Cricetulus griseus: one gene and its partners. The protein of the gene in region 4 interacts with the protein of the main gene of each other region in a biochemical or structural test. Links are inferred from orthologs where the notes say so. Each region holds a gene or a part of one and is shown on either strand. Other genes may lie near its edges.

Region 1 (4,192 bases), on a different chromosome or scaffold from region 4:
AGTCTCAAGAGTTTGAATTTAGGTTAAGTCTTGGAGGCAGAGACCCTTAGAACTCCCTACAACCATATAAAAAAAACAGTTAACGTTAACAGAGAACATTATTTCCTATTATTAGAAAAAGGGATGGTGTCGGAAAGAACCCGAACCAGTTAAAGCAGCCGCCATCTTAAAATGCGGGATAGAAGTTAGAGCAATAAAATGAGACTAAACCACCGGAGGAGGTAGTTCTTCTTACACTAGACCTCCGAAAAATCCTAGCTTCTGCCCAACTGAAACCGACAGCGTAAATTATCAAATTATAGTGGATTGCTGAAACAAGGCTGGAGGGGGGAGGGGGTGTCCTAAGCAAAAGCAGTGGGTCCATCCTGTGTTCCTGCACTGTCAAGCACCCCCCCACCCCGGACGGATCTTCCTAAAGGCATTTACATCAGTTCCCGTGCCTCAGATAAATAGCTTCGGGTGCAAGCTGCGACCACACAACACAGGAAGTGGCAACAGTGTCAGTCCACCTCCTCCCAACCCCACTTGGTCTTGTGTAACTGCCCAGATTGGGTTAAGCTTCTGGACAGACTTCGTCACTACCTTTTAGCAAATCGAGGTTTGTTTATAATACCTTGACCCTCAGTAAAGTTCGGAATAAAATGTTTTCTTTTTCATGTTTCCTTTTCTTCCTAGAAGGCCTATAAGCATAGTACACCTAAAATAAGTTTTGAAGAACCAGGAATAGGAAAGCAGTACTATGCCATCTGCCCGAGGGCTTCTACACAATTCCACTTTCCAAACCGGACTAACTCTTCGTGAGGCACAAAACCGAGGTGCCTGAAAGCCACGCTCTCACCCATTAATTTACAAATTCTTGTGAGAAATTCGGTCTAACATTTCGCTTGCCAAAAGCATTCAGTTCCCCCAACTTAAAGAAACTCATCTCATAAACTACACTCGCACCCCACTTCCACACTTCCCCCTGGGCCCGAGCCTGCCTGCCTGCCTGCCTGCCTGCCTGGCTTCCCAGGGCCCCCCGTCCGGATTAGTCAGTCCCAACAACTTACCTTATTAATCCGTTTCAGCGCCATAGTCTGTGCTTTTCGCCGGGCTCCTCACTATCCCGATGTGTACTCAAAGGCCCGGCCGAAAACTCTTGATTATCCCAGCGGCGAGGATGGATCGTCTCTTCTCCTTCTCCTCCTCCTCCTCCTCCCAGCGGCTCTGCCAGACACAGGCGCCTTTTTTTTGCAAAAACGGAGCAGATCAGCCACTCGCCAGAGGCCGCGGAGAAAACCCTGCCGACTCCGAGATCCCTGCAAACCGCCGCGATCCGGGCAGGGCGGGGTGGGGTAGCGAAGCCACCAACCACTGCTTCTCCCCGCGGCGGCGGCTCGCCCCGCAGAGGGCGAGGGTGACGGGAAGAGGTTACGAGTTTAACTTCCCGGCCTCTCGGAAGGAAGGGCCCCGGGTGGGAGAGGAAGAGGCGGAGGAGAAGGGGGTGGGTGCGGGGCCGGGGCCGGGCAGAGGAGGAGCCGGGGCCTAGTCGGCAGGCAGGCAGGCAGGCAGGCTGGCCGGACCGGCCGGCGCTGGGCCGGCGTCACCGGGGCAAAGAAAGGCAAGGGGGAGGGGAGCGGGAGGCTCCGGAGCGGCGCCGGGCTGCTCTCCGTTTCCGCTCCAAAGGTCGGCGGGCGGGCGGACGGACGGACGGGCGTGCGGGCGGCGGGCTCGCGTGTGCGGCCGTGCCCACGGCTCGGGCTGCTCCGTGTCGCCCCTGACACTGCCTCCCTCCTCTCCGCCTCACAGCGCGCTCCTACGTGCGCGCGCCCAGCCTCCTCCTTCACCACCACGCGCCGCCGGCGGCGGCCGCCAGGCTCCGGCTCCGGCGCGAGGGAGGACGCGCCCCTGTCTCCCCCCCGCGCCCGTCCTCCCGTCCTCCCTCTCGCCCCCCCGCCCGCCCGCCCCGGCCGCGCCGGCCTCCCCCCTTTACCCCACCCCAGCCCGCGGGCTGCCCACTCGGCCGCCCACAGCCCCGGGCGCCGCTCCGCGCCGCGCCGGCCCCCGGCCGCTCGCCCTCCCTCGGGCCGAGCGAGCCGTCCCCACCCACGCGTACAGAGGGGCCGGGGCCTCCCTCGAGCTGCGGCCTCGGCCTCGGCCTCCTCCCCGCGCGGCAGCTGGTGCCTCCCCGGCCCTACGGGGCTCACGCGCACGGCACAGCCACAAGATGTCCGCTCGCTCTGACGGAACTACTGCCAGCTGCCACGCTCCGCCCCTCCCCCCGCCTATTCACCGCCGCGTATCCGTCCGCCAACGCCGCCGCCGCTGCCGCCGTCGCGAGCGCGAGCCGCGGGCCGCGCGCGGGGCGAGCCGAGCCGAGCCGAGGCGAGCGAGGGTTGAGGGCAGCGGTTTGCCTCCCTGCCTCCGGGCCCGAGCCGACGCGCCAGCCACCCGCTTGCCGCCTCCCGGCCGGACCGCACAGCACCTTCTCACTCCACTGCTCGGAGGTCGGGCCGGGAGGGCGGGGGACGGAGGCGGGTCATGGGCCGAGGGGAGGGTAGGCGAGCGGCGGAAACCCTGAGACTCAGAGAAGCATCGAGAACCGGAAGGAGACCTCGGGAGGAAGGGGATGGGAGCGGCAGCTGCGCGGTCGAGGCCCCCGCGCCCCTCCCTACCGCGGCCCCCTGGTTTCCTCACTTGGTATGGCGGAGGCGGCGGATCTCGCGAGAACCTCGTGGCCGGCTCAGCGGAGCTCCGGCTCTGCAATGACTTAAGGGCAGTTTTGTGCTCTCTTCCTGGCTGGGGCCCGCCCCCAAATCCGCAACTTATCGCGAGAGGCGCCGGTAGCACTCTCCACGCCCCCCTCCCCCCCAGGTTCTCACTGGGCGGGCCTTGGGCCGAAAGCACCGCCCCTGAGTGCTTCTGCTGGTGGGCGGGAGAGGAAATGGAATTCCCCAGGCCGGCCGGGCGCGAGGGCGGGCGGGCGAGGGCGGGCGGGCGCGAGCGAGGGGCGGGCGGGCGGGCGTGCGTGCGTGCGGCCGGCGCGCGCTGGCCCCGCCCCCTCGCGGGCGTCCAATGGGGGACGGGCTGTGGGCGGGGCCGCGGGGTGACTCGGTGCCTTAGCGAAGGTGGAGCGGGCTCCGGGCTTCCGGGGGCCCAGGTGATGGAGATCTCTCTTCCCGGGCTCCTCGCAGAGGGCTAAGCGGCGGGAGGAGGCTCCCCTCAGGTTGGGAACGGTAATTTACAACAGATCCAGGCTGAGGGCTGCTCGCACCGCCACGTGGGCCCCGCGTGAGCCGCGCGCGGCCCGAGGGGCGAGCGTTAGCGTAGCCTTAACAATGCGGCTTAATTGTGATCGGGCTGCTTAGAGTCCCGACGTCAGGCAGTCAGGTGGGGAACAGCCAGAGGAAGGAATGCCTGAGGATCTTCTTTCTCCCGGTGCTGCTGCAGTTTTTGAGCCCCAAAGTGGTAAAACATTAGGGAATCAGTCTGGATTACATTCAGGGGTGAGATCTCTCAAGTGTACCACTGCCCTGATTTTGGGCCGCCGTGGTTAAGGTGTAGAGGGCCGTTTGTCATCTAGTGTATTCTTTGGTTAAAAAAAAAGAACTAAGCCTTTAGTTTTCAAAAGGCGTTTAAAGGCAGAAAGGATGGACCTGCTTTAGGGTTTTCTGGCACCCATGAATAACCCCACTTGAAGTGAAATTCTGCAGGACTACATGGAAATAGCTTGAATTTTGAAAACTTGTTCCAGACAGTAGTCCCTAATTAAATGATAAAAATTGATGAAGGATCTAATATATATTCTAAGAATGAGGGTGTGTAATATGTGTGTGTATATATATATACACATATAGCTGCTTATACATTAAAAATGTCACTAGAGCAATCGGTGGGATACAGCTGCTTCAACTGGTGTCCATAGGAATCACCTGTAGTTTAGTTTAAAATGCTGATTTTGATTTATTAGGCCTGACTAGGAGCCCGAGATTATACATTTACAACAAGCTCCCAAGTGATAGGAATAATTTGAGCATTTCTGACTTAGTAAAACCCTGAGCACATGATGCTCTCCTGGCCACCTCTGACACTTCCTCCTCCCTGAAAACAACCCATTGTTCTCTCTTCAGGCTCACCCTTTAAAGTAGAAGCAAACATTAGGCATGGGGTGGAGGGAGAAACCCAGATGGCGGCTTTTGCTTACTGTTTTTTT
Region 2 (3,500 bases), on a different chromosome or scaffold from region 4:
CTTGTACGCAGGAACTTGCTGCCAGTGGGCTCCCTTTCCCACTCATTCCCCTTCCTCCATCCGCAACCTCTCCCTAGTTTCCTAGCCAGTCTCAATGTAAGGGAGTAAACGGAATGTTTAAAGACAAACTGAGATTATACCTTTTCTATACTAAACACTCCACATTGTCATATCAAGACTGGTTCTCTTGTGGCTTTCAGTGGAACTGACTTCGGCCACTCAAATATATCAAGCTCATTGCTGCCTCAGGGTTCTGGCATCTACTCTTCCTTTTTCTAAACAGCTGCTAGTTTGCCCATTTCATTCAGACCTCTGTTTGCATATCATCCATTTGACCAGGCCATCTTCTGCATGTTCCATAGTTCTTACCTTGATATATTTGTTCAGTTACAATGAAAATAGCTTTTATAGACAATAACTTTTTCTTTTTATACTGTATTTTAGTGATTGTTTTTGTAGGACTTGGTGTTGAACTCGGGTCATCACCCATGTTAGGCAAGCACTCAGGTACATTGCCAGAGAAATATTAACAGCAAAACTAGAGAGAAATACACTTAAAAGCAAGTGGTTGCCAAGTGAGGCAGGAGGAATGCCAGTTCCTATATAGCAAGACTCTACCTAAAAAACCAGAAAACAGAAAAACAGTTGAGAGAAATATAAACTTATAGAAAAGAAAGGAAATTAAAACTTGAGGATCCTCTAGGAAACTTAAAACAACCTTGAGATCCAAAAGCACTGAATAGTAGTGCTATTTTCCCTTAACACATATAATTGTCTACCTCTATTTTAAGTATTAGGAGTATTATTATGCTCGTAATCTATGTTTAAGTTTGTTACATGTGAATGAAACAAATACAACAGAATTAAGAAAGGAAAAAGGAAAGGCTGAAGAGGAGGAGGGAGAGGAAAAGAAAGAGGAGAAGGAACACGAGCCAGTAGAGGAATAAATAGAAAAAGGAAAGGCTAGGCAACCACTTAGGAATGTTACAAACTGAAGGGTACTAACATAGGTTTAGTTTTAAATGAGTGAAGCCAAGTTCTTCAGCTACACACTTAGAATAAAACACACATTCCCACCCCAAAAATGGTTTTAACTGACCTTAAAATTGGGAGAAAAGTATCGGTTGGCCTTGTCTTTGTTTGCTTTGTCCAGATCATTTTTTGTTAAGGTAAGAACTAGATATTCTTTGTCATTATCTGCACGTTCTATACTGCAAATACTGTCAATTTCCTGATCACAGAGACTTCCATTCTCCACTTTTTCTGATGTTTCCTCTGGTCCTGGTATGAAGAATGTATTTACCCAAAAGTGAAACATTTTGTCCTAAAAAAGAAAGATGTATTTTACTCATTTAAAATATTTTACAAATAGCCAACATAATAAATCATGTACAATCTGGTATTCTAAGTGAAGGCAAACAACTCATAGAATGTCAACATTCTTATTAACTAAGTTATCTTTTATTCAAATTTCAGATAAAAATATAATCTTTTATGTTAAGATTCTAAGTAAAGTATTTTCTATTCTAATACCAGATTTTAAAAATGTTTTGAATTTACATGTATGTAGACATAAGAAAAGTTCAGGTGTTTTACTTCAATAGAAAACCTAGGAAGGTTAGTAAAAGCTCCCTAAGGAAATATGGCAACTATATTTTGCCTGGAGATATGTATGTATGTACATCCTGTGAATGCCTGGAAGCCACAGAGGCCAGAAAGCAATTCAGATCCCCTGGGACTGGAGTTACAGATGATTGTAAGCCAACATGAGAGTGCTGGGAATCAAACCTGGGTCCTCTGGAAGAACCACCAGTGCTCCTAAATGCTGAGCCATCTCTCCAGCCCATGACAAGTCTTTTCAAAATCTTACTGATCTCAGTTACTTCAGCAAAGTTGTTAACTTAGCAACTATACTTTGCTTTTAAAAAAAAAGGGGGGGGGGTATTATTTAAACTCCCAAAATGTAGCTTGTTGATGTGTGCTAATTTTCTGAAACTTTTTTTATTTAAATCAGAACAGGCACTTAACTAAGTCAGGAAAAGCTATGATAAATGCAAATTTACATAAAGTAATCTAAGATATACAAATATAAATATCCAATCTTCAGTTTCATGTATATAAATGTGCAATTGAGATCTGGAGGAAGAAACAGCACATTCCTAAAAGTACAAGGAGTGAGTGAGTTATCTATTTTAAAAAACAATATAAAGCCAAGTATGGTGGTTCATGCCTATAATCACAGGACTTAGGAAGTCAACGCTAAAGGACTGCTTCATCTGAGGCCAACCTGGGCTACTTAGTGAGTTTGGGCCAGTTCGGGCCAGCCTGAGCTACAAAGTGAGAACCTGTCTCCCAACAATCAAACACTAACAAAGAAAATCAGGAATAAAAATTTGCATGCACAAGTACACACACACACACACACACACACACAGCACACACACACACACACACACACACACACACACACACACACACACACACACACACACTCAATTTTATATGAACCTTGAGTCTTCTAGGAGGTAGGAGGAAAAACCAGAGCCTTCTAAATACCTGACGTTTGAAATACTACTGGCTCATACTTAGCTTTTTTTTTTTCTTTCTTAGAGGTAGAAAATTGAGTCTATGATAGAAATAGTAATTTGTGATCTTGTTTACTTACTTTTAACTACTTAGATCCTATTTAACATTTAAAAGTTTTATAATAAGTGAAATTTCCTTTTATCACTTTTTTAAAAATCTAAAAATTGAGAAAACGAAATCCTCTTTCTGGTGATATAAAATCTTTCATGTTTTACAGGTGTCAGTCAATTCTAAACAAAGTTGGTGTCTTTCTCTGAAACATGTGCACCTTAGACTCTTTGAAATATTTGCAACATTCCAGATTAAGGTTATTACAGCCTTCTCTTAAGTGTGTCTCAAGCCTTAGTATTCTGAACTCACATGTTCAAGTATATTTTTTTTTCACTTTGTTTGCTTTTGTTTTCTCTGTGTCACAGTCCTGGCTATTCTAGAAGTCACTTTGTAGACCAGGCTGGCCTCGAACGCACAGAAATCCACCTGCCTCTGGCTCCCGAGTGCTGGGATTAAAGGCGTGTGCCACCAACACCTGGCTCTTTTTTTTTTTTTTTAAATCACTTCTCCATAGCTGGTTCTTTCAACTAAATAATACTGACTAAACTCTCAGCAAATCTTGGGAAACAAAATGTAAAATAGCCCAGTCTCAAGAAACATAAACCCAACTGGGTAAAATGAGGCTTGTGTCATTTGTAAGATCACAGAACAAAACAAAACAAATAAAACAAAAACAAAAATCCACAAAGGCTCTGCTTTCATGTTCCATCAATGTCACAGATGAGGCAAGGTGTGTGCAAACCTAACAAGAAATCCATCAAAACTCGGTGGGCGGCAAAGAAATACTGTATCTCAATCTCCTTAAGAAAAAGGTCTGAGGTTACTCATGGCACAGCTATTTCTACCAGATAGAACTCAAGTGC
Region 3 (3,985 bases), on a different chromosome or scaffold from region 4:
CCCTCGGTTGCACGACAGAAATCTATTTTAAGGAGCAAGGGTCCCGATGTCCTTGAATGTCTGTGCTCAAGAACAGTACGAGTTTTAAACTAGTTTCCATCCATCGGAATCTGGCTTTGCGATGGGATGAAGGGGAGCCCAGACAACGTCCCTCAATAACGCCCAGGCTCTGCCTTTGCTGAGCCCACAGACAGCAAACACCCATTCTAGCCCGCTCCGCCTAAGCGCAAGAGTGGATGGAAACAGCGGGCACCAAACGGCCGCTACGCGACTCGCTCCAAAAAAAAAAAGAAAAAAAAAAACGCCTGCCAGCCCCGCTTCCTGCTCTGCTGGGTGTGCGCAGCCGCCGGGCCGCCGAATAGGCACCTCCACGAACGGAAACAGCCGAGCTCAACCGAAGAAGGCCGAACCCCAACCGAGGAGCAACCGAAGAAGGCCGAAACCCAACCGAGGAGCAACCGAAGAAGGCCGAACCCCAACCGAGGAGCCAACGGAGGGGAGGGAGGGGGCCGCGCAGGCGCAGCCCGCAGCCGGGGGAGGGGGGGACCAGGAAGAACCGAAGCGGGGGGCAGGCAGGCGGCGGAAAGTGCCGAAGCGGCGGGGGGGGGCGCCCGAAGGCCGTTGCGGACCTCCGCACCGAAGCCGCGCCTGCCGCGGGAGCTGAGCCTCCACCGGTAACCCTGCCGCCGCCAGCGCGGCTGCCGCCTCCTCCGCCTCCCACCTCACCGCAGCCTCCTCGCAGAGGGAGGGAGGGAGCAAGCAGGCGGGAGAGCGGAGCGGCGGAGCCGGGAAGGGAAGCGGCCGCAGCGGGGGCCCTCTCGCAAGACCTGAGCGGAAGAGGGGAACGGGGAGGAGGAGGAGGAGGAGGAGCAGGAGCAGGAGGAGGAGGAGGAGGAGGGCGCGGGGGTGGGGGCGGGGCGGGCGCCCGAGAGCAGGGGCGGGGCCGACGAGAGCCGAGTCCTCCCGAGCGCCTCCGAACGCACCCGAGGCGCTGAGCCAGGCCGAGAGCCGGACTACGGGAGCCGAGGCGGGCCGTGCGGTGGGCGCGGAGCAGCGCGGCAGGCAGGCCGGGCGGGCGGCGGCGGCGGCAGCGGAGGAAGAAGAAGAAGAAGAGGAGGAGGAGGAGGAGGAGCGGGAGGCCGCGGCAGCGGGTCCGAGGAGCGGAAGCGGCGCAGGAGGCGGCCGGGGGGGCCGGGTGGCCGGGGTCCCGGGCCCCGCGGCGGCGGCGGCGGCGGCGGCGGCGACAGGATGATCAAGCTGTTCTCGCTGAAGCAGCAGAAGAAGGAGGAGGAGTCGGCCGGCGGCACCAAGGGCAGCAGCAAGAAGGCGTCGGCGGCGCAGCTCCGGATCCAGAAGGTAGGGGCTGGGGTGGGGTGCGGTGGGTGGGGTGCGGGTGGGGGGGTGTCGGGGAGCCCGGGGTGCGAAGGTGCAGCCGCTGAGGTGGCGGGGCGGCGGGCGGGCGGAGGGGGGAGGGCGGGGAGGGGGTATCGGAAGTCGGGGTGGGGGGGGGGCTGCGCTGCGGGACGGGGGTGCGGTCGCTAGGGAGGGCCGGTCCGAGCCGGGGGCCCCGGGTGAGGCCTTGGGAGGGACCCTGAGGCCTGGAGGGTTAGGGCGCCGGGGATCCGGTAGGGGACCGGGGGGGGGGAGAGTTTGAGAGTCCCACGGGAACTTGGCGGGGGTGACGACGGGCCGTGGAGACAGGGGTGAAGGTTGCGAATCGGAGAGGAGGAGGAGGAGGGGGAGGAAGGACACGGCCTCGGGTCATGATGTTGGGAGACCTGGAGCCCCGGGACTCCGGGACGAGGGGGAGGGGACGGGAGGGGAGGGCAGAGCAGTTTTGAGTTTGAGGTGAAAGGCGGGGGGGGGGGAGGAGGAAAGCAGGTGACAGGAACTAAAAATAAATAAATAGATAGATAGATACATAGATGGATAAAATAAAGATGGGAGTCGGGGTCCATGGAAGCTACTACCATGCTAGGAGTCTTCACGAGTCAGATGAGAAGAAGCGGCGCGTGGAATAACCACCCCCCCACCCCCGAGAAACAGGAAGAAGGACAAGGGGAGGCTGTGGATAGTTGATGGGAAGGGCCGATCTAGCGTGGGAAGGGTCCTCGAATGAGGACGGACGGGTAAACCAGTCGCGAGTGGAGGTCATGACCACGCAGCCTCAAGTTTAGAATGCTCAGGGGCAATCTCTTGGAAGCCAGAGGTTCTTGGGCCCTCACTGCATTGTGGGAAGGGTGGTGGTGGTGGTGGTGGTGGTGGGGATTTAGTTGGGTTAATCAAGGTTGGCCCTTCCCGAGAGATAGGCGTCCGGTTACAACTGAAGATGCTCACGTGTGGGGATACTATGTATCCACCAGAGTCCACCGAGAGACTGGAAAGTGGGAAGAGTGTGTAGGACTCACCCTGCGAGGTGTGAGGCCACCACACGCCGGGGCCCTACAGGTCAGGAAGGAGAACTTGGGAAGTCCTGCTAACACCTGCCCAGACCTTCACGCCGTCGTTTGCTCTCCCTCTCACTGTTGCCTAAACCTAGACATTAACGAGCTGAACCTGCCCAAGACTTGTGACATCAGCTTCTCAGACCCAGACGACCTCCTCAACTTCAAGCTGGTTATCTGTCCTGATGAGGTGAGAGTAAAACGTGGGTGGCAGGGTTCCCAAGAACAGACCCCGGGGTGGGGGTGCTGTCCGCCCATAGAGAATGGGAAACCCTAAGAATGGGGGGTCTTAATTCCTTCTTCGCTCCCTTTCCCAGGGCTTCTACAAGAGTGGGAAGTTTGTGTTCAGTTTTAAGGTGAGTCCCAGGTGGACCGAGGTGGCTCGGTGGAGAAGTAGCAGCAGCTGAGGCATAGCCAAAACACCTGCCCCTCTCATTTCCCTTTTTTTCTGGGGCCAGGTGGGACAAGGTTATCCACATGACCCCCCCAAGGTGAAGTGTGAGACAATGGTTTATCACCCTAACATTGACCTCGAGGGCAACGTCTGTCTCAACATCCTCAGGTGATGGCCCTGCCTCCCCTTTCCCTCCCGAGGCCCACCTCTGCTCTGCTCTGCCCTTTACCGTCTGTGATTCTGTCTTCGCATTTCTACGTTGTCTTCCTAATAGCCCAGCCTTGGCTTTCTCCATGGCCTGCCCCGTTCCATGTCTTACCCCTTCCTTACCTCTCACTCTTCAGGGTTACGGGCCTCCTATGGGCCTGACCTGTTTGGTACTAGCAGGGCCTGTTGAAGCCTCCCACTCACCAACATGTGATAACCTTGATGCTCTCTGCCCACAGAGAGGACTGGAAGCCAGTCCTTACGATAAACTCCATAATTTATGGCCTGCAGTATCTCTTCTTGGTGAGTAGGCACAGGCATTTGAGGCGGGGGTTTGTTGGCCATCTGCCTCTCTTGCCTGTTAACTTCCACTTGTGCTGGCCACAGGAGCCCAACCCCGAGGACCCACTGAACAAGGAGGCCGCCGAGGTCCTGCAGAACAACCGGCGGCTGTTTGAACAAAACGTGCAGCGCTCCATGAGAGGTGGTTACATCGGGTCCACCTACTTTGAGCGCTGCCTGAAATAGGGTTAGCAAATACCCATCCCTGCCAGGGTCACCAGCCCAGGCATCCCCTGCAAATATTTATTGGGGGCCCGGGTAGGATATGTGGGGTAGCCTTGGCCCCTGCCTTGGCCTTACCTCTCCTCCCTGTCACCTGTCCCTAGTTATTTTTTTTTTAACCACCACGTGATTATGGTCGGTGCTGCCTTTTCCCGACCTGCTCAGCGATGGGAAATGAATTGGCCTGTTTAGCGCCCCCCCCTCCCGCTGGGTGCTGTCCAATACCCCACTCTTGACTGTGGGGTAAGTGGGCAATGAGCCTGGGTCACTGGTCCCAGGCAACCCACCCCACCACCACTGGAGGTCCCACCAGGCTATTAAAGGGGAATGTTACTGCATGGCCTGTGCCTCTTCCTTCTGTGGGGTGGGAGGGACA
Region 4 (4,131 bases):
AAACCAATACGGAACACTTGGGTTGCTTAAGGAAGAGTCTTTTCAAATGGTTCTTCTAAAATTTTAAGTTGTATTATTTTATATATTAGAAACTCATACAACTTATATAGCTGAGTACTTTATTTTACAGAGACAAGAGAGTTTCACGATGGAGGCCAGCCTGGAAGACATTGTGAACTCCAGGCCAACCGAGTTAATGTGAGAAACTGTTTCAAACTAAAAGCAAACAAAACACAAATAATAATATACATTATGCCAGCTCTTCAGGACTTCCCATGGTACCATGGGCTCAGGTCACTCGCCAAAGAGTCTACTTCTGAATAAAAAGGATATATTTTTGTATAGTATACTAAATAAAAAGTACACATTTTTGTAATTTGGTGTTTATAAATGGAACCCTCATATAATATATGAACAGTGAATGTTTTGGTTACCAGAAGTCTTAGGTGGGTTTTTTTTTTTTTGGCCTACGAAGTAGGTGACCCCATTTCTATAAACTTGGTGTGAATTACAAGCCATAGTGAAGGCAAAAATAGTTGAGGTGAAAAGTAATTCAAATCTTTCTCCTGCACAATGTCCAACTTGCCTATTCCTGAATGAACAATTAAGAATCTTACCCTGGGTACCACTTCGCATGCTGTTCCCAAGGGTCTTCACTTGGCTTCCAATCTGTGAGCCCTCCTCCACAGTGAAAGCACTTCACCTTATCACCTTCACCTAAGGAAACATGCACGTAAAACTATGTGTATCTGTGCATCAAAAAATGCCCATTCTAACATTTAAGAGGTGTCTAAGTTACATACAATCTCATGGCTTAAAGGAAAACATTCATATTCCATCTAGATACGATCTTTATCATTTGACAGGAAATACACACTAAATTTACCATCCCGATATGGGGTGCTTTGTAGAAGACAACAAAAGTAAAATCAAAGATTTTATGTTAAAAACTACAATTGTTACATTCTTTCTAGTGCATGTCATTTGGGTCATTACTATCACACTTACTTCATCAAACTGAAATCTGTACAAGTTATATTCCAAATGTTAACTATAATAAAATTCAGCAGATACTACAAAGTAAGTGTCTTTAAGGATAGAGCTCTCTGACATGAAAAAGACCTTCAAGATTACTATGTTATATAAATGAAAAAAATTTGAAATAATTTGTATTTTGAATTTAGCACTATTCAATCTTAAAATAAGTGGACCAGGCATGCAGATATAAAATATTCCTAGAAGCAACCATATTACTGGCTTTTAAGTCACATACTGTGACTGTTTCAAAAATACTCTGATGCAATAAGGCATAATACAGGGCAGCTTTCAAATATGTAGCGTATGTTAAAGATGTTACTTTTTCTTTGGTTCTTTTCGAGGGTATCATGACGTAGCCCAAACTGCCCTCAAACTCATTCCTACCTCAGCCTATGGACTGCTGCAATTACAGGTATGTGGCACCATGCTTAGCTTGATGTCAGTTTACCATGAACCAACCTAAATTCTCTGTTAACTCTGTTTATAGGGTTGTGGTGAAGCTTACAGACAATCCATGTAATAAGTATGCTGAGCATACAGAGTAGATGCTCGTTAAATGGCAGCTATTATTACTATTAGACCCATTATTTATCAGGAATCAATACCATCTTTTTTCTTCTCTCAACTCAACCCTCAAACAACTGTATGAATACAGATCTGACTCATAATAGCATGGCCTTTTAAGCATAAATTCAGTAATGACAATGAAGATTTAACATATGAGTTCAGAGAATGATACTAATGATAAGCAATCCTGAAAACTTATGCCTAAATATTTATTAGTTCAGAAGACTAAAGGCAATGATTTTCTTTTTAGGAGCCCTATGACAGATGGAAAGTAATTTACTGGTTAAGTTTACCTAAAGCATAAAATCCAGCTCTTGCAAGCTGCTCCTTGTTAACTGAGTATATCCATGTTCCAAAAGTAATGATCCGTGCTTCATATTCTGCCATGGCTGGATTTCTTGGAGAATTTGCCGAATTGGGGAAATTCCTATCAGAACTCACACCAGATTCACTCCGAACATTAACATTCCGGCCCAAAACAAAGAAGCAATTGGGAAAGTGTCTCCTGTGTTCTGACCAGGCACGATCACAGGGTTCCCAATTTTTCAGTTTCCCACCACAGCAAAAGCACTGCACTTGATCATCAATCCCTGTGTAGTACAGTCCAGCACTGGCCAACTCTCTGGGGGTTAAGTGGGCATAGTCTGGCCAGTTCTGAAAGGACTTCAGCCTGGCTTCTTCACTACACATGGCAGGGTTCCTCGGGTATATGGTATCTGAAATATCTACAACCTGTCCAGTTCTCAAAAGATAATCTGCATGAGTCTCAGATGGCCTGTCAAGAGCAAAATGATTTCTGTTTCCCACATAGTTTTCAGCTTTGTACTGGCCATTTTGGATACCAGGATTTGTAGCCTGTGTGGCACTGTTTTCAAAATAAAAACCATTGATAAATCTGCAATTTGGGGATATTTGCCTGTGTCTTCCAACAGCTGAGTCTCCGTACTGCCATCTATCCACTGCCGCGTGACAACTAAAGCACTGCACAGTATCTCCTTCACCAGTATAAAGAAACCCTGCTCGTGCCAAGGTTGATGCTGAAACAGGACTACTACTTGGAAAGTTAGCAAATGTTTTTAATCTATTAAACTCTTCTACAAATTCTTCATCCTTATTGGTGTCTGCAGGTACACAAGTTCTAGATCCTTCAAAACTGTTAAAAGTCATCTTCTCTTGAAAATAGGACTTGTCCACCTTTTCTAAAAAGAGAACATTGCATTAGGAAATCCAAAACACATAACAAAAGTAACATATTTCTGATACTAAGCACTAACAAATTATCCACTGATAACATAAAAACAGTGGTACAATCACTAAGACACATTTAATTCTAAACACTAGAGCCTTACATTACTACTTGAGTTTTAAAATCTGGTGCTTTTGTTTTTTTTCTCTTTCAGTGTTAAGGCTTCACACAATGCCAGACACATGCTCCAACACAGAACTATAAACCAGCCTGTTTCTCTTATTTATTGTAGTCCTGGATATCCACCTCAGGGTCTTTGGCATTTTCGGCAAGTGCCGAAAATGAGCCTCAATCTCAGTCCCACTTTCTCTTTTGATGGAAAACAATATGTAAACAAACAGCAGAATTACGAATCTTAAGTACTCATTTTATAGAAATATGGAAAGTATGACACAGAAAAATTATAAATATTAAACACATGAAGCCTTTAATTAGGAAAAACATGAATGCAGCATAAAACATGCAGATTATTAAAGACTATGCATAATAGTTATAATGAATCATTTCATATTCAAGGCATCAAAGTTCAATTTTTACTACTTAAAAATGAATGTTTAGAATGCTCATGGATTAATTTTAAATATATTTTTACTTTCTTGCTTAGCAAAAAAAAAAAGTGGTCTGGTGGAGGCCATGCCCAAGGGTATATAGGAAGCACAAATTAAACTTGCTGCATTTAAACAAAAGGACAAAGTCAGGTGGTAGATCTGGGAGGAGTTGGGGAGGTAGGTGACTGTGATCAAAATGCCATGCATAAAATTCTCAAAGAACTAATAAAAATATTAAACAAAATATTATAATGACTTAAACATTCTAAAAGTCACAGATATTAATTGAAGTTACTTTTGCCATCAACTTCTGTTGGTCAAGAAATAGCCTGTTTAAATGGAAGAGAATTTAACACTCATTACAGTTGCCAAATTACAACGATGTCATGTTTAGGCCAAATAACATACCAAGAGGAATCAGCTGCATTATGGGAAGAGTGGCAAGACAGTTTGTCCTCCAACATGGTAAAGTGCTAAATGATGCTACTAATAATTGCATAAGGATAACAGGCATGAATCATGGTCACCATAGGCAAAGCAGATAGAAGAACATGTGGTCACCCTAGCTACAAGACAAGCTGGTTCTCCAGAATCTTCCACATTGCCATTCTGTCCTCAGTATGTTTGTGAAATGCAAAATAAACAAATGGCTAAAACTCAAATAACAGCAAAAATGAAAGATTCTGATGTAGCAATGAATACATATCCAGATATTTCTCAAAGGGGGATGTA
Region 5 (3,500 bases), on a different chromosome or scaffold from region 4:
ACTGCACTTTCTAGAGCTAGGAAGGTTATTGCTTTAAGAAAAAAAAAAAATCCAATGGAATTTAGGAGTGACTTTTACTGTTTTGTTTTCTTAACACCATTCTCCATATCTTTGCCAAAAAGCCCCCAGACGCTTAGGCCTCTGGTTACACCAGTCCAGCTAAGCACCAGCTCCCATGGTCCTCTCCTCCTCTGCCAAGAAGGCACAAAACAGTTGGTCTCTGGTTCCTAGGATACAGCATGGACTAGGGCTAGGATGGTGACTCCTCCCCCAAAGTCCCTGGGAGCTGGGAAGATATTGGCCATGTGGCCCAGTAAATACCTAAAAGCCAAACAAACGTACAAGCTGGCAACTTTATTAAGGGGCTGCATGGTGGGGGGCGGGGGTCAGGTCCTTTTTAATTCTGATGTCCTCCTGACCCCTAATAGTGCTATTCCCTGGGTCTTCAGGGGGAACCAGAAACGAGTTGTCATTCCTCGACTTTCTAGACTCCAGCTGGAGTATTGCCGAGACCAGCACATAAGATGGCCCACTAACTAGTCTGAGACAGGGTCTCAAATACCCAGGGCTGACCTTGAACTCACTATACGGCTGAGAATTACCATAAACTTTTGCATTCTGTCTCCATCTCCTAGTACTGGGCTTACAGCCATGCCCTTCCACCCCTAGTTTGTATGGTGCCAAGGAATGAAGCCAGGGCTCAGACATGCTAGGCGAGTACCCTACCAACTGAGCAAAACCCCAAGCAGCGCTTGAGTAGTGTACCTTCTGCACTACTAAGAACCTGACTGGATAGAGGAAGGCAGCAACAAAAGGCTACCAAGGGGCCCCAACACAAGCTCTTTTGAAAAGGCCCTCATCCAATCACCAAAGCATCCTGAAGGACATGGTGGCCTGGCCCTAAAGAACAGGCAGGGTGCAATTGGGAAGATGGGGGCTATTCTAGATAGACTGCCTCTAGGACAGGTCACTGGGTCGAAGGACTCAACAGATGGATCCAAGTCTTGGCTAACTCCAGACTCTAGGTGACAGGACTTGCCATGTCTATTCATGGTGTGTCTTCCAGCCCACCCTGCCCACACCTGCCCACCCAAAGCCACACCTCTGTGATCCAGTTCATGGTGGTTCTTCTCATCCTTCACTGCCAAGTGGGCTTGGCTGCCCAGGGCACCGAGTGCCAGCAGCCCGGAGCTGCTTCCTGTCACTGGGGGGATCCCGGGAGGTTGAAGGCCTGACGGGTGGGGTGGCAGCTGGACCGGGGGACCATGCGTGGCATGGGAGAGGTGCTGTGCCTGGAGTTGCTGCTGCTGCAATGAAGTTGGTGGTAAGCGATGATAGGTCAGACAGGGCAGAGGATGGGTCACCTCTGCCCCTCCCCCTCGCTCCTCTACCGTTAAGCGACAGGGAAACAACACCCCCCCCACTTGCCCGCTCAGCCCACATGCTCATTTTGCTGAACAAAATCTGTTAATGGACTGCAACGTAGAAGATTTATGTCTTCCAGCGTCATCCCCCCCCACCTCCCCCTCCAGTTTCAGGACAGTTTCCCATGCCTGTTTCCAAGCCCAAGATAAATAATGCATGCGTTTAAAACCCACAGGGTCATCAGGGCTTCCTTTCAATTGAGAGGAACCCATTTTTAAGCTCATAGCTCATGCATACATGCCTTTAACATCAGCAGCCAGCACCTCCCACCCAAAGCTGGAACCTGGGCAAAGCCTCCATGATCCTGAAGAAACCCAAAGCTTGCAGAGTGGGGACAGGGTAGGCCAGAGCAGAGAAGTACCAGGACTGGTGAAATGAAAGCTGATGTCCTCGGCCATCAGAGTAGAGAGAACACAGAGCCACAGAACCGGGGAGAGCAGAGAGCCCTTGAAACCAGATGGGTCAGGAGCTATGTCCCTGTTCTGGCACTTACTGTCTGCACAGCTGGGGGAAGGAATCAACTCCCTAAGCCTCAAATTCCTCATCTGCACAAGGGGGGAGGCAGCACCTACTACAGGGGACTACATAAGGTAACAGGGGTTTGGGCACGCAGCCACTGCTCAATGGGCTTCATGGCAGTCACTGGCACTTCCACACTTGCACGGAGTTCTCAAAGGGCTCTCCCGCTGTTGTAACAACCTGAGTACTCCCAGCCACACAATAACAGCCATGCTCCTGTTCCTCCCCACACCTAACCCAGGACTCTGCTGCCTGACGCCTCTTCCCACTGCCAGCATTGAGGCTGCTCATCTCATTTTGCCCCCAATCCCAAGCTCCCAGCTCAGAAGCTTCCATGTTCCCCCAGCAGCCAAGATGGAATGCTCCCTCATTCGTAAGACTATGCCAAGAACCCCTGGCATTGTGGGACTGGTTATATGGTATCAAATATTTCTCAGAGATGGAAATATTTCTTGGGACTGGTTGGGCCTTTGGGTATGCTTGTCTCCACCCATGCACACATCTTTTGTCTTGACTAGTCCCAGAAAAAGTAACCAAGGCCATTTGTATGTGCATATAAAATCCCTGGACACTATCCAAAAAGATCCTGTAATTCAAACAGTCACCCAGTGGAGGAAGGGTTGTGCCCATTTTTACAGACTATAAACTGATAAAGGGGCACTGGAGTGGGCAGCTGGAGTCCCGTGACTCCTAAATGTAATTTGAACTCTTCTGTCAACCACTAACACCGTCTACAGAGTATTCCAAAGAACTTCAAAGCACGAGGGACAAGATGAAGGCAGATATACAGCAATGATGTAATAAGCCAAGGTATCAGCACGGGCTGAGGGAGCTTGGACCTGTGAAATAGCGCTCTCAAATCTGGGAAATTCCTACAGATATTTGGTCGATGATTAAAAGCTTCCAGGATCCCTCCAGACTGCTGACCTTGCTCTACCTCTAAGTCAAGCTTGCTGTGGCAGCCTTATACTTCTGGCCCCCAAGGCTCCATGCCTTAGATCTATCTATAGGACTGTTACCCACAGCCAGTGCCCTGAACCACAGAGGACCTGCGATAACCCCACTGTTAGGCACCTGTGCAAGCTTTTGGTGGCCACTGGTCTTAAGAGTGATGTGACTCTAGGTTTGCTAGTGTCACAGCAGAACTAAGGTAAGGGAGCAGAATCATGGTGTGCCAGGCAGACCTCCAGTCCTCTTGGCTAACACTGAACTTTCACACGGGAGCCGAACACAGCTCCCCACCTTCCCTTTTAAAGAAAATGAATTTTTAACATATTCACAAAATAACACATGCTCATTGTTAAGAAAACAAGATTTTCTTTAAGATTTAAAAGTTTTGTTCTTTTTAAGGTCCCTGTTCATCCCACCCTCACGAGCCATTGTCAGTCTGTCTGGAACCCAGATTTTTCAGATTCACAATTTTCCGTGTGATTCTCCACAAATGAGCTCTTGTTGATCATGCTGTTATTTATAGGCCCCGATTTAAAAAATGTTCTGAAGAAAAAAAAATTAACTTTCCTTTTGAATGACTATTTAGTATTCCACAGCATGGCTAG
Region 6 (4,206 bases), on a different chromosome or scaffold from region 4:
CAGATAAAATGAGAACCTAAGGAGAGAGGTGAAACAGAGACCCTGGTACAGGCCTGCATGAGGAAGTAAATGAATTTCAGGAACAGAGTGAATGGACACCAGGAGATTTCATCCCTGCAGTTCAAGAGTCTGCCCTGCAAGAGATCAGTTTCATTGTGAACAGCCTTGGCTGGAGGGGGATGTGGCCCAGCCTGGCTCTGTAACCCACCCCAGAAGGGCAAACAATCACTGACTGTTTCCAAAGGAAGGAGTGTGAAGCTACAGGGTCTCCCTTCCTTGGGACCTAGGGGGAGCTGTGTCCTTTCCTCTGTACCAGTCCTATTGGTACCCCAGGTGTAGGAGTCTGAATTTCACCCTCCTCTACTCTGAGGTTGGTGAGGTACGCCATCTCTTTTCTTGAGGTTAAGCCTTCTCCTCCCTTCCCTGTCCCCACTCTGGGTTCTCCTACACGTTCCAGACTGAGTCACCTGCACTGCCCAGGGATGGGGGTAGACCAAAGGGGGTAGGCAAAGAGAACCTGGAGTCTGTACCCCAGCGGCTTTGGGGACTAGGTTCTTCATTTCCTGAGGAGGGGTTGGAAACTCAACAGGTGGGGACAGAAGTGTAACAGGGAATGGGGGGCATTGAGGGAATGTGAGGTTGTTATACTCTAAATTTTAATCTCCACATCACTCATCACTTTGTTCTAGGAGGAGGAAAAGGAGAAGGAGAGGAAGAAAAACATACCTTACATACAAAGAAAAGGCATAGTGAAGGAATACAAAATGAAATACCGGCAAATAAACTGTGAAATCCCCAAATGTGAAGACCCCGCCTTAGCTCTCAACTCACATTTGGCTCAATCTTAATCAGTGCAAGATCCAGTTTATGGTCGATGTCTTTGACAGTGGCTTCATACTGGGCCCCACTCTGGAGCTCTACCTGGATCTTCTGATGGTTGGTGAGGACATGGGCATTGGTGATGATGAGCCCATCCTCAGACACAATGAACCCAGAGCCACTGGAGGAAGGGATTTCCTGGTTGGTAAGAGGTGATCTGTCCCGGAACAGGACAATAGTATGAGCAAAGGCAGGAACTGGGGAATCCATCCATTGTGAGTCTCAGCAAGCCTCACATTTATCAACCATAGCTCCAGTTTTCACAAGTATGTTCCTTTTCCCTGTCTACTTCTATTCTCTTCATGTATATATGAGCGGCATGTAGCATGTCCTGGCCATCTATCTCTTCTGAACACAACTCAGAGCTGGGACACTGCTTCCTCCTTCAAATAGGGCAGGAGTGGCAACCTGGGGGCCATCTGCTGCAAAGAGTCCAAACCTGGCGTTAACAGGTCACACTCCTGTCACAGTGTCAAAATCTAGCTCTTAGTTTCCACTACCAACTTGTGTAGTAAAATAGAACAAGTTAATTTTCTGTCTATCCAGGTTTACTTGCACGCAAGTGATGGCTAGGGCTAAATGAGACCACCAAATGCTGACTAGTTCCTCTAATCAGCCCTAAGTTTTGCTTGGGTATGGGGGAGAAAGAAACCCGAGCCACCAACGTGCACCGATGTAGCTTGGATTTAGAAGCCAAAATCCTCATGCTTGGTTCTTTGCTCTTTAGCAAAATAGCTCTTAATAATTTTTCTTCGGGTACTGGGCTGGAACCTAAGATTTCCCCCACATGCTTCGCATGAGCTCTACTGCCCAGCTGTACCCCGCCAACTCTTTGAACCTGGGTTTCCTCACAGCGTATCAAGTGGGGTAATTGGCCCCAGGGTGTGACCTTTACCTACGGTATAGCTGCAAATGAACCACAGATGGCGCCACCTTCACCACCACTGCGGCAATAAAGTTAAACTTCCTCCGGAGCCTCCCAGCACTTCTGGTCCCTGTGAATAAACGGTCCATGGTGAGGGCAGGCACTGCTCCCTGGATGCAGGTGTCACATCTCAAAATTTCCCAGCATCTCTCCGTCCCCCTTCCTCCGCAGACTAGTGGATGAAAGGCATACCAAAGGGAAGAAAAGAAGAAAGAATCCCCGTAGCAACCAGTAGAGACCACATTAACCAGGCAAAACACCAGGAACAACCACAACAGGTTGAATCTTTGGAGCTGGCAAAGGAGGGTAGACCGAGAGAACTAAAGAGCCCCCATTTCATCTTCTTAGGAAGATGAAAGACTTCCTAAGAGTCTTCTTAGGAAGACTCAGAAGTGTCGGGGAGTGGGGAGTGTGGTGGTGGGGTGCCCTGAGCCTCGCTCACCTGTGTCCCCGCAGCCTCCCTTCTGTACAGGCACTGCCGGGGGCGAGCCCCGCAGGCGCGCGGCTCGGTTCTCCTTCCGGAGCGCGCACAGGCTGGGATAGGTGCGTCCGTCGCTGCCGCACACCGCCGCGCCCTCCACGCCCTCCACACAGCCGCAGGTGCCCAGCCATGCGCCCCCCGCAGGCTCCCGGGAGAATGGGGCACCGCAGCGCAGCCCCGAAACGCACGGTCGGCCCCGCGCCCCGCCACACTCCTGACCCTCTGCCGCAGGGCACACGCGGCAGCAGCCACAGCGGTCGGGTACCGGCGCCGTGCCGGTCGAGCAGGTGGGCAGTGGCGGGCAGCGTGTGGCATCGCAAGCCACCGGACAGGGCATCGAGCCTCTGGACCTCCTGGTCTCTGCCCAGGGAACAGGCAGTAGCAGCAGCCACAGCAGGAGAAACTGTGCCCACATGGTCCACAGCGGCTGGGAGCTCATCTTGTTCATGGCCCTCCTGGATTCTACTTTTCCAGTTACTTCACTCAAAATTCACAACTGGTCTAAAATGAGCAATCCTTTTTCCTGGCCTGGGTGCCTACCCTGCCAGACTCCAGACTTTATAAAGGACAGTGTCTGGCTTACTTCTGCTCACACCCACACCCATATATCACCCACCACCCAAACCACCCCAGGGCCAGGGCCACCCACCTCTAAGCCATAAAAGGGAGGGAGGGTCTACTCTAAAACCAGTCATGGGGCAAGTGACAAACGTGACCACTCACCCACGGCCACGAGATCTGACCAAGAAAACAAACAACCAGATTTCATATTTCACATGTTTTTATTACAAAAACAAGCAACCAAACAGTTTTAGAAAATTACGTTTTGCTACATACCAATTAGGAAATCTCGAAACATAAGAAGCTGGAGTTTCCATGCACTCAGCTCAGTGCTTTCAGAGGTGTTTCACAGCTCAAACACTGGCCCAAACGGGCCATGCCACACCTTCATAAACAGAGGACCAAGGGGTCACGATGTGTGTTTTTGCCAAACATTCACTGTATTCAAAGCCTACCTAGTATGAGTGACTGTAATTGACTCTGGCGGGGGTGGGGAGGAGAGATCTGAGGAAAACAGATTTTAGAGGGAAAAAAATTCAAAATTAAAGTGGTGACATGGGAAACTTAATTTCCAAAACGCTGCCATTTGCTACCAGATGACTGTTTATTTGGTTAACATTGAAGACATCAAATCCACTGCTCAACAACTGATCTGTTATTTATTCAGGGAGTCATTTTAGTCCTAAAGAGAGCATATTTATATTTCAAGAGGGAAACAAAATCAGTTTGCTTCCATTGAACTAAGACACTGGGCTTTAAATCTCTCCCCAGAAGCTCATCATTCTACTTGGGAGAGAATGTCTACTTGGTAGAGGTGTCATTCCACTGCTTTGTCCTGAAGTCCCTCCCTAGGCTGTGGTCTTCCATATTCTCATCAGGGTTCACAGAATGACACACTATTTTTGCCAGCTATCACCTGACCTTGGTAAACAAGTCCATCAAACCTTTCAAGGCTACTGGATGGTGAGTCCTTCAGGTGCTGAGGACACTCTCTGAGAAGCCTTGAAGAAGGACCTAACCCCAGAGACTGCTTTTATTCCACACATACACACACACACAAAACAAAAACAAAAACACAGTACCTTTAGTAATTCAGAAATCCCTTCTGATTTATCCACAATAAATGCTTAACCACAAACCCACACTGTATCACACCCTATTCCCCCTCCACACACACACACACTGGGTTCTATTTTATACATTGAAAACTAGTTTATGCACTATCTTTGGCTTACATTAAAATACTGAGATAGGCTGGATATGGTGGTACATGCTTGTAATCCAAGCAGTCGGGAAGCAGGGTGGAGGCAGGAGCATTACCAGTTCAAAGCCAACCTGGACTACATAGCAAGACTCAGGC
Region 7 (4,286 bases), on a different chromosome or scaffold from region 4:
ATAAATCTTTAAAAAAAAGTTTATTAAAACAAAACAGACATATGGTAGTGGCGAATGCCTTTATGCCCAGCTCTGGAGAGGCAGAAGCAGGCAGATTATCTGTGAATTCAAGGCCATCCTGGTCTGAGTCAAGGAGAAACCCTGTCTGGAAGAAGAAAAGTTCAATCCCCAGGACCCATGAAAAGGTGAAAGAATAGACTTCACAAAGTTATCCTCTAATTCGAGGATTATGGCTGAGACATACACAGACACCGACACACAGACACACCCCTTTAAATGTCAAATGATCATTTCTAAACCCGATTTCTTTTTTAAAGATTTGTAAGAACTGGGAATGTAGTTCAGTAGCAGAGTGTTTGCCTTAGCATACGTTAAGATCCTGAGTTCAATCCCTAGTACTATACAAAAAGATTTAGTGGTGGCAGGTGTGCTGGTACATGCCTGAATTCCAGTACTCAGGATCAACACCACCCTGAACTACACAGTGACAGCCTATCTCAAAAACAGAAGATATTGCTAGGGGCAGATGTTAATCTAAGATTTAAATATAGCCAGGTGGTGGTGGCGCATGCCTTTAATCCCAGTACTTGGGAGGCAGAGGCAGGAGGATCTCTGTGAGTTTGAGACCAGCCTGGTCTACAAGAGCTAGTTCCAGGACAGGCTCCAAAGCCACAGAGAAACCCTGTCTCGAAAAACCAAAAAAGATTTAAATGTGTGTTTTGAGTCAGTGTTATCTCCCTCTCTGAAGAAGTCTCTATAGCAGATATTAATACAAACACTAAAAGCCATTAATTTTCTAGTTTAATCTCAGCACTCTGAAGGCAGAAACAGTTTGAGGCCGGCCTGGTCTACACCATAGTAAGCTGCAAGCCAACAGAGCTAGGAAGACCCTACCTAAAAAAAAAAAAAAAAAAAAATTAAAACTATCGATGCAAATTATTATACATCAAACTCACATTCTCTCCCAGCCTTGGAGGACAATCTTCTATAGGTATATTTCAAACAGCATTTCAAATCAATAGCTTCCCATCAGACTCTATAAGACCCTATATTATATGACTGCTGAAGTCTTAGAAATACACCCACAGCGGCAGTGGCAGGTGCCTTTAATCCTAGCAGGAGGCAGGTAGATCTCTGTGAGTTCAAGGCCGGCTTGGTCTACAAAGAGAGTTCCAGGACAACCAGGGCTGCCACACATAGAAACCCTGTCTCGAAAAACAAAAACAAAAATACACACACATTACTTGGATGTTTATCCCTCACAAGGTTTTTCAAGGGTTTTCTTTTGTTTTGTTTTTTTTACTAAAGTTCATACTTCTTTTAGCAAAGACCCTGCTTCATCTTAGTACAAGACATACTGCTAAAGGCTATCCGTTGATTTCTAAGAAAGCAACGAAACCAAAAGTTGGTAAGGCGCTAATTCGAAGTAAGGAATGGAATTAATTCCACATTCCAAGCCTTGAATAAAGAGGGCCAATTGCTCAACTGTGGTATTCCATCTTTCAATCTGCATTTTGACTTCCTTCTCTATTCTTTGTATCCCCATCTCATCAGCCCGTATGGGTAATCCCAGGTCCCACCACTTACTAATAAGGTAAAGATTTAATATGGCCCACCTGAGGAGCCAAATAAAACACCAAACAAAACTCACAGTGGGCGACTTCTTACGTCCAAGGAAATATAGTGACACTAAGAGATTGGGGGGGGGGGTGAGAAACCCTAAAGTTTAAGCCAAGCCTATGCTCTCCTTGTAGTGTTAAATCTTATCAACAAATAAATGGATAACCTTTCACTTAAGACAACTAAAACTATTTCTACCCAAAAATAGAGTAAAATCCCTTCTAAATTAGGAGTCTTCTCGAATACACCATCTAATTTTAGCGTTAAAATCATTTTGGGAGAAGTCTGTGAAAGCAATTTCTCTGGCGGTTTTCAACGTTCGGTTTTCTGAACTGACTGGCTTCTACCCTATCAGGTAAACAGTTGTTCCACTAGGTCCAATCCTGCAAAACTGAAGTGTTAGTTTCCCACCCCACGAAATAAAACCCTTGTCCACTTAATTCCCTTCTCCCTCCGAAGTGGCATTTTCTTCCCTCTGACTTTCTACTCCAGTCTGTAGACCAGTAAGGTGGACTGAAGGGTGCAGCTAGCTGCCAAAGAGTTAAGTGAACTCAAGAAAACAGCCCGTGGGTCGGGCAAATGAGCCCTCTGGTCGGCTTGTCGAGGTCCTGGATCTCGGGCAGCTCAGCGAAGGGCGCCAGAGTAGGGGGACAGAGCTTGGACAACAGTCCTCCCGACCTCGGACCACAGGGGCCGCCCAACGCCCCAGCCGCTACCCCCTCCGCGCCCCCCCAAGTCCCTTCCCAGGCCGGACAATAGCCCTAGTGAGCAGCAAGTCCCAGGCCGGAGCGGGGCCTGGAAAGGCGTCGGGGAGGAAACTGCGAGGACCAGAGCAACTTCGGCCTAAGCAAGGTCCCCGCGCTCCAGCCTTCGCGGGCGCCATCTCTGGGAGTGGGGTGTGAAGGCCGCCCCGTGGGGCCGGCGCCGGCAGCGGGAACCAGACGCCGCGAGCCCAGTGGAGGCGACCGCGGGAAGTGCAGGCCGCAGCCTCCTCAGCGGGCTCGCCCAGCGGCCCATTCCCCCAGCAACACCCGGGCCGCTTCTTACCTTGTGGATTCTCTTCAGAGCCATGGTGGGAAACGGTGGCGACGGCCCCCGGGGCGGGGACGGGGACGGGGGAGGGACGGGGACGGGGCGAGGGGGCCTGAGACCGCCCGAGCGGTCGCGAGTCGGCCGGAGAAGACCGGGAGCTCCGAAGCGCGGATCCGACGAGCTGAGGGCCGAGGCCCACTCAGCGTCTGGGCCTGCCGCAGCGGTCACCGCATCACCCGGCGGCGGCCCCTTTATGCGCTGCTGCCACAGCCGCCGTAGCTGCCTCTTCCTCGTAGGCTCAGCGCCGCCTCCTCGGCCGCCGTGGATCCCTCCGCCGGGGAGGAAGAGCCCCAAGCTGCGAGCTCGCAGAGCGCCCGATGGCCACGGAGCCGGGGAAGCTCACTTTCCTGCCTGGTGCAGGTGGACTAAGAGACGCGCGGGCGGCGGGCGGCGCGCCGCCGGGGTGGGGCCGCCAGAGCGCGGGGTGGGCCCAGGCCGAGGGGCAGGTCGGGAGGCTCCGGGATTGGCGGGCCTGGGAGGGAGGGCCGGGCCGGGCCGGCGGCGGAGGGATACGGGCCGCCCCTGCGAGTACCTTACGCGCCGGCGCAGCCACGCCGCGGAGGGGATGACGTCGCGAGACACTGAGAGGAGATCTCGCGAGAGTTTACGCGCGGGTTCTAGATGCTCCTCCGCCAAGGCCGCAAATCAGCATCTGGTACCCTGTGCGCTTGGGGCTTCGAAGATCAATAAACGCTTAAAGGCACGTGTTTTCCACATTGTTTAGTCACCATCGGACTCGGAAGAGAGTACCTAATCCCGCTGCTACTTTCCTGAAAGAGAGAAGGACTTTTCCAAGGTCACACAACTCTTCATTTATTGGCAGGATTAGTACTACCAGATTGCACAGGGAGCCTTGAGACTGGCCGCCCCGTCCAAGCCATGACTCGATGTTCTCTCCACAGCCACCGGCGTGTTAGCCTTAGGAAATACGCCGTGGAGAATAAGAAAATATGGAGAGAATTTTTTGATAAGGTTACACAGCAGGTGGCTAAGTTGATCACCTCTCTTCGAGCACAAAGGTGGATCCCCCAAAGAGAAAATTGTAGCAAGTCACCCAGATTCTGTATGCTAGAATGAGGAGGAACAACATTATGGAGGCCCAGGTCTCTTTGAAATGTGATGAAAAATGCCTCCGTGTCAAATTTCTAATTTTTTTCTCAGTGATAACATTCTTGTACGTAAAAAGCAACTCCTTCCTTCCTTTATTGGTTTTTCGAGACAGGGTTTCTCTCTGTAGCTCTGGCTGTCCTGGAGCTTGCTCTGTAGACGAGGCTGGACTCGAACTCAGAGAGATCAGCCTGCCTCCGTCCAGCAAGATCCAGGAAATTTTAAGGAGGCATATTAAGACTCAGGCAGTTCTAAAGGAAAGGACTTTAAAACTTGAGAAAGTAGCCAGCTGTGGTTATGCACACCTTTAACTCCAGCACTCAGGAAGCAGAGGCAAGTGCATCTTTGTGAATCTGAGGCCAGCATTGTCTACAGAACAAGTTCCAGAACAGCCAGGGCTACAAAGTGAGGCCCTATTTCAAAACAAACAAACAAAAAACAACTTAGAAAGTAAGCAACTTAGGAAT

Evidence for each region.
Region 1: the proteins of Xiap (region 4) and ubiquitin-conjugating enzyme E2 D3 form a complex in vitro, tested with the Homo sapiens proteins (5 studies listed by BioGRID). The link is inferred for Cricetulus griseus from reciprocal best matches to the Homo sapiens genes XIAP and UBE2D3.
Region 2: of the proteins of Xiap (region 4) and Pten, one has a biochemical effect on the other in vitro, tested with the Homo sapiens proteins (2 studies listed by BioGRID). The link is inferred for Cricetulus griseus from reciprocal best matches to the Homo sapiens genes XIAP and PTEN.
Region 3: the proteins of Xiap (region 4) and Ube2m form a complex in vitro, tested with the Homo sapiens proteins (2 studies listed by BioGRID). The link is inferred for Cricetulus griseus from reciprocal best matches to the Homo sapiens genes XIAP and UBE2M.
Region 5: of the proteins of Xiap (region 4) and Tle3, one has a biochemical effect on the other in vitro, tested with the Homo sapiens proteins (2 studies listed by BioGRID). The link is inferred for Cricetulus griseus from reciprocal best matches to the Homo sapiens genes XIAP and TLE3.
Region 6: the proteins of Xiap (region 4) and Htra4 form a complex in vitro, tested with the Homo sapiens proteins (2 studies listed by BioGRID and IntAct, with this or other methods). The link is inferred for Cricetulus griseus from reciprocal best matches to the Homo sapiens genes XIAP and HTRA4.
Region 7: the proteins of Xiap (region 4) and Ube2d2 form a complex in vitro, tested with the Homo sapiens proteins (6 studies listed by BioGRID). The link is inferred for Cricetulus griseus from reciprocal best matches to the Homo sapiens genes XIAP and UBE2D2.

The regions. Positions count from the first base shown.
Region 1 is NW_023276806.1:24,045,351-24,049,542, forward strand, and holds the start of ubiquitin-conjugating enzyme E2 D3, read right to left. Parts: upstream 2,801-4,192; 5' UTR 2,677-2,800; intron 2,594-2,676; exon of another isoform or gene 2,465-2,593; intron 2,235-2,464; exon of another isoform or gene 2,096-2,234; intron 1,224-2,095; 5' UTR 1,074-1,223; coding exon 1,050-1,073; intron 1-1,049. UniProt on the Homo sapiens protein: Accepts ubiquitin from the E1 complex and catalyzes its covalent attachment to other proteins. In vitro catalyzes 'Lys-11'-, as well as 'Lys-48'-linked polyubiquitination.
Region 2 is NC_048596.1:28,744,195-28,747,694, forward strand, and holds part of Pten (phosphatidylinositol 3,4,5-trisphosphate 3-phosphatase and dual-specificity protein phosphatase PTEN), read right to left. Parts: intron 1,325-3,500; coding exon 1,100-1,324; intron 1-1,099. UniProt on the Homo sapiens protein: Dual-specificity protein phosphatase, dephosphorylating tyrosine-, serine- and threonine-phosphorylated proteins.
Region 3 is NC_048602.1:25,624,911-25,628,895, reverse strand, and holds Ube2m (NEDD8-conjugating enzyme Ubc12), read left to right. Parts: upstream 1-1,185; 5' UTR 1,186-1,248; coding exon 1,249-1,356; intron 1,357-2,163; exon of another isoform or gene 2,164-2,178; coding exon of another isoform or gene 2,179-2,209; intron 2,210-2,538; coding exon 2,539-2,634; intron 2,635-2,761; coding exon 2,762-2,800; intron 2,801-2,902; coding exon 2,903-3,006; intron 3,007-3,284; coding exon 3,285-3,348; intron 3,349-3,432; coding exon 3,433-3,573; 3' UTR 3,574-3,947; downstream 3,948-3,985.
Region 4 is NC_048604.1:25,910,638-25,914,768, forward strand, and holds the start of Xiap (baculoviral IAP repeat-containing protein 4), read right to left. Parts: upstream 2,801-4,131; 5' UTR 2,773-2,800; coding exon 1,899-2,772; intron 718-1,898; coding exon 618-717; intron 1-617.
Region 5 is NC_048597.1:172,932,988-172,936,487, reverse strand, and holds part of Tle3 (transducin-like enhancer protein 3), read right to left. Parts: intron 1,308-3,500; coding exon 1,103-1,307; intron 1-1,102. UniProt on the Homo sapiens protein: Transcriptional corepressor that binds to a number of transcription factors. Inhibits the transcriptional activation mediated by CTNNB1 and TCF family members in Wnt signaling.
Region 6 is NW_023276807.1:58,688,724-58,692,929, reverse strand, and holds the start of Htra4 (serine protease HTRA4), read right to left. Parts: upstream 2,801-4,206; 5' UTR 2,734-2,800; coding exon 2,247-2,733; intron 1,875-2,246; coding exon 1,775-1,874; intron 1,037-1,774; coding exon 832-1,036; intron 1-831. UniProt on the Homo sapiens protein: Serine protease.
Region 7 is NC_048595.1:201,744,477-201,748,762, forward strand, and holds the start of Ube2d2 (ubiquitin-conjugating enzyme E2 D2), read right to left. Parts: upstream 2,801-4,286; 5' UTR 2,692-2,800; coding exon 2,668-2,691; intron 1-2,667.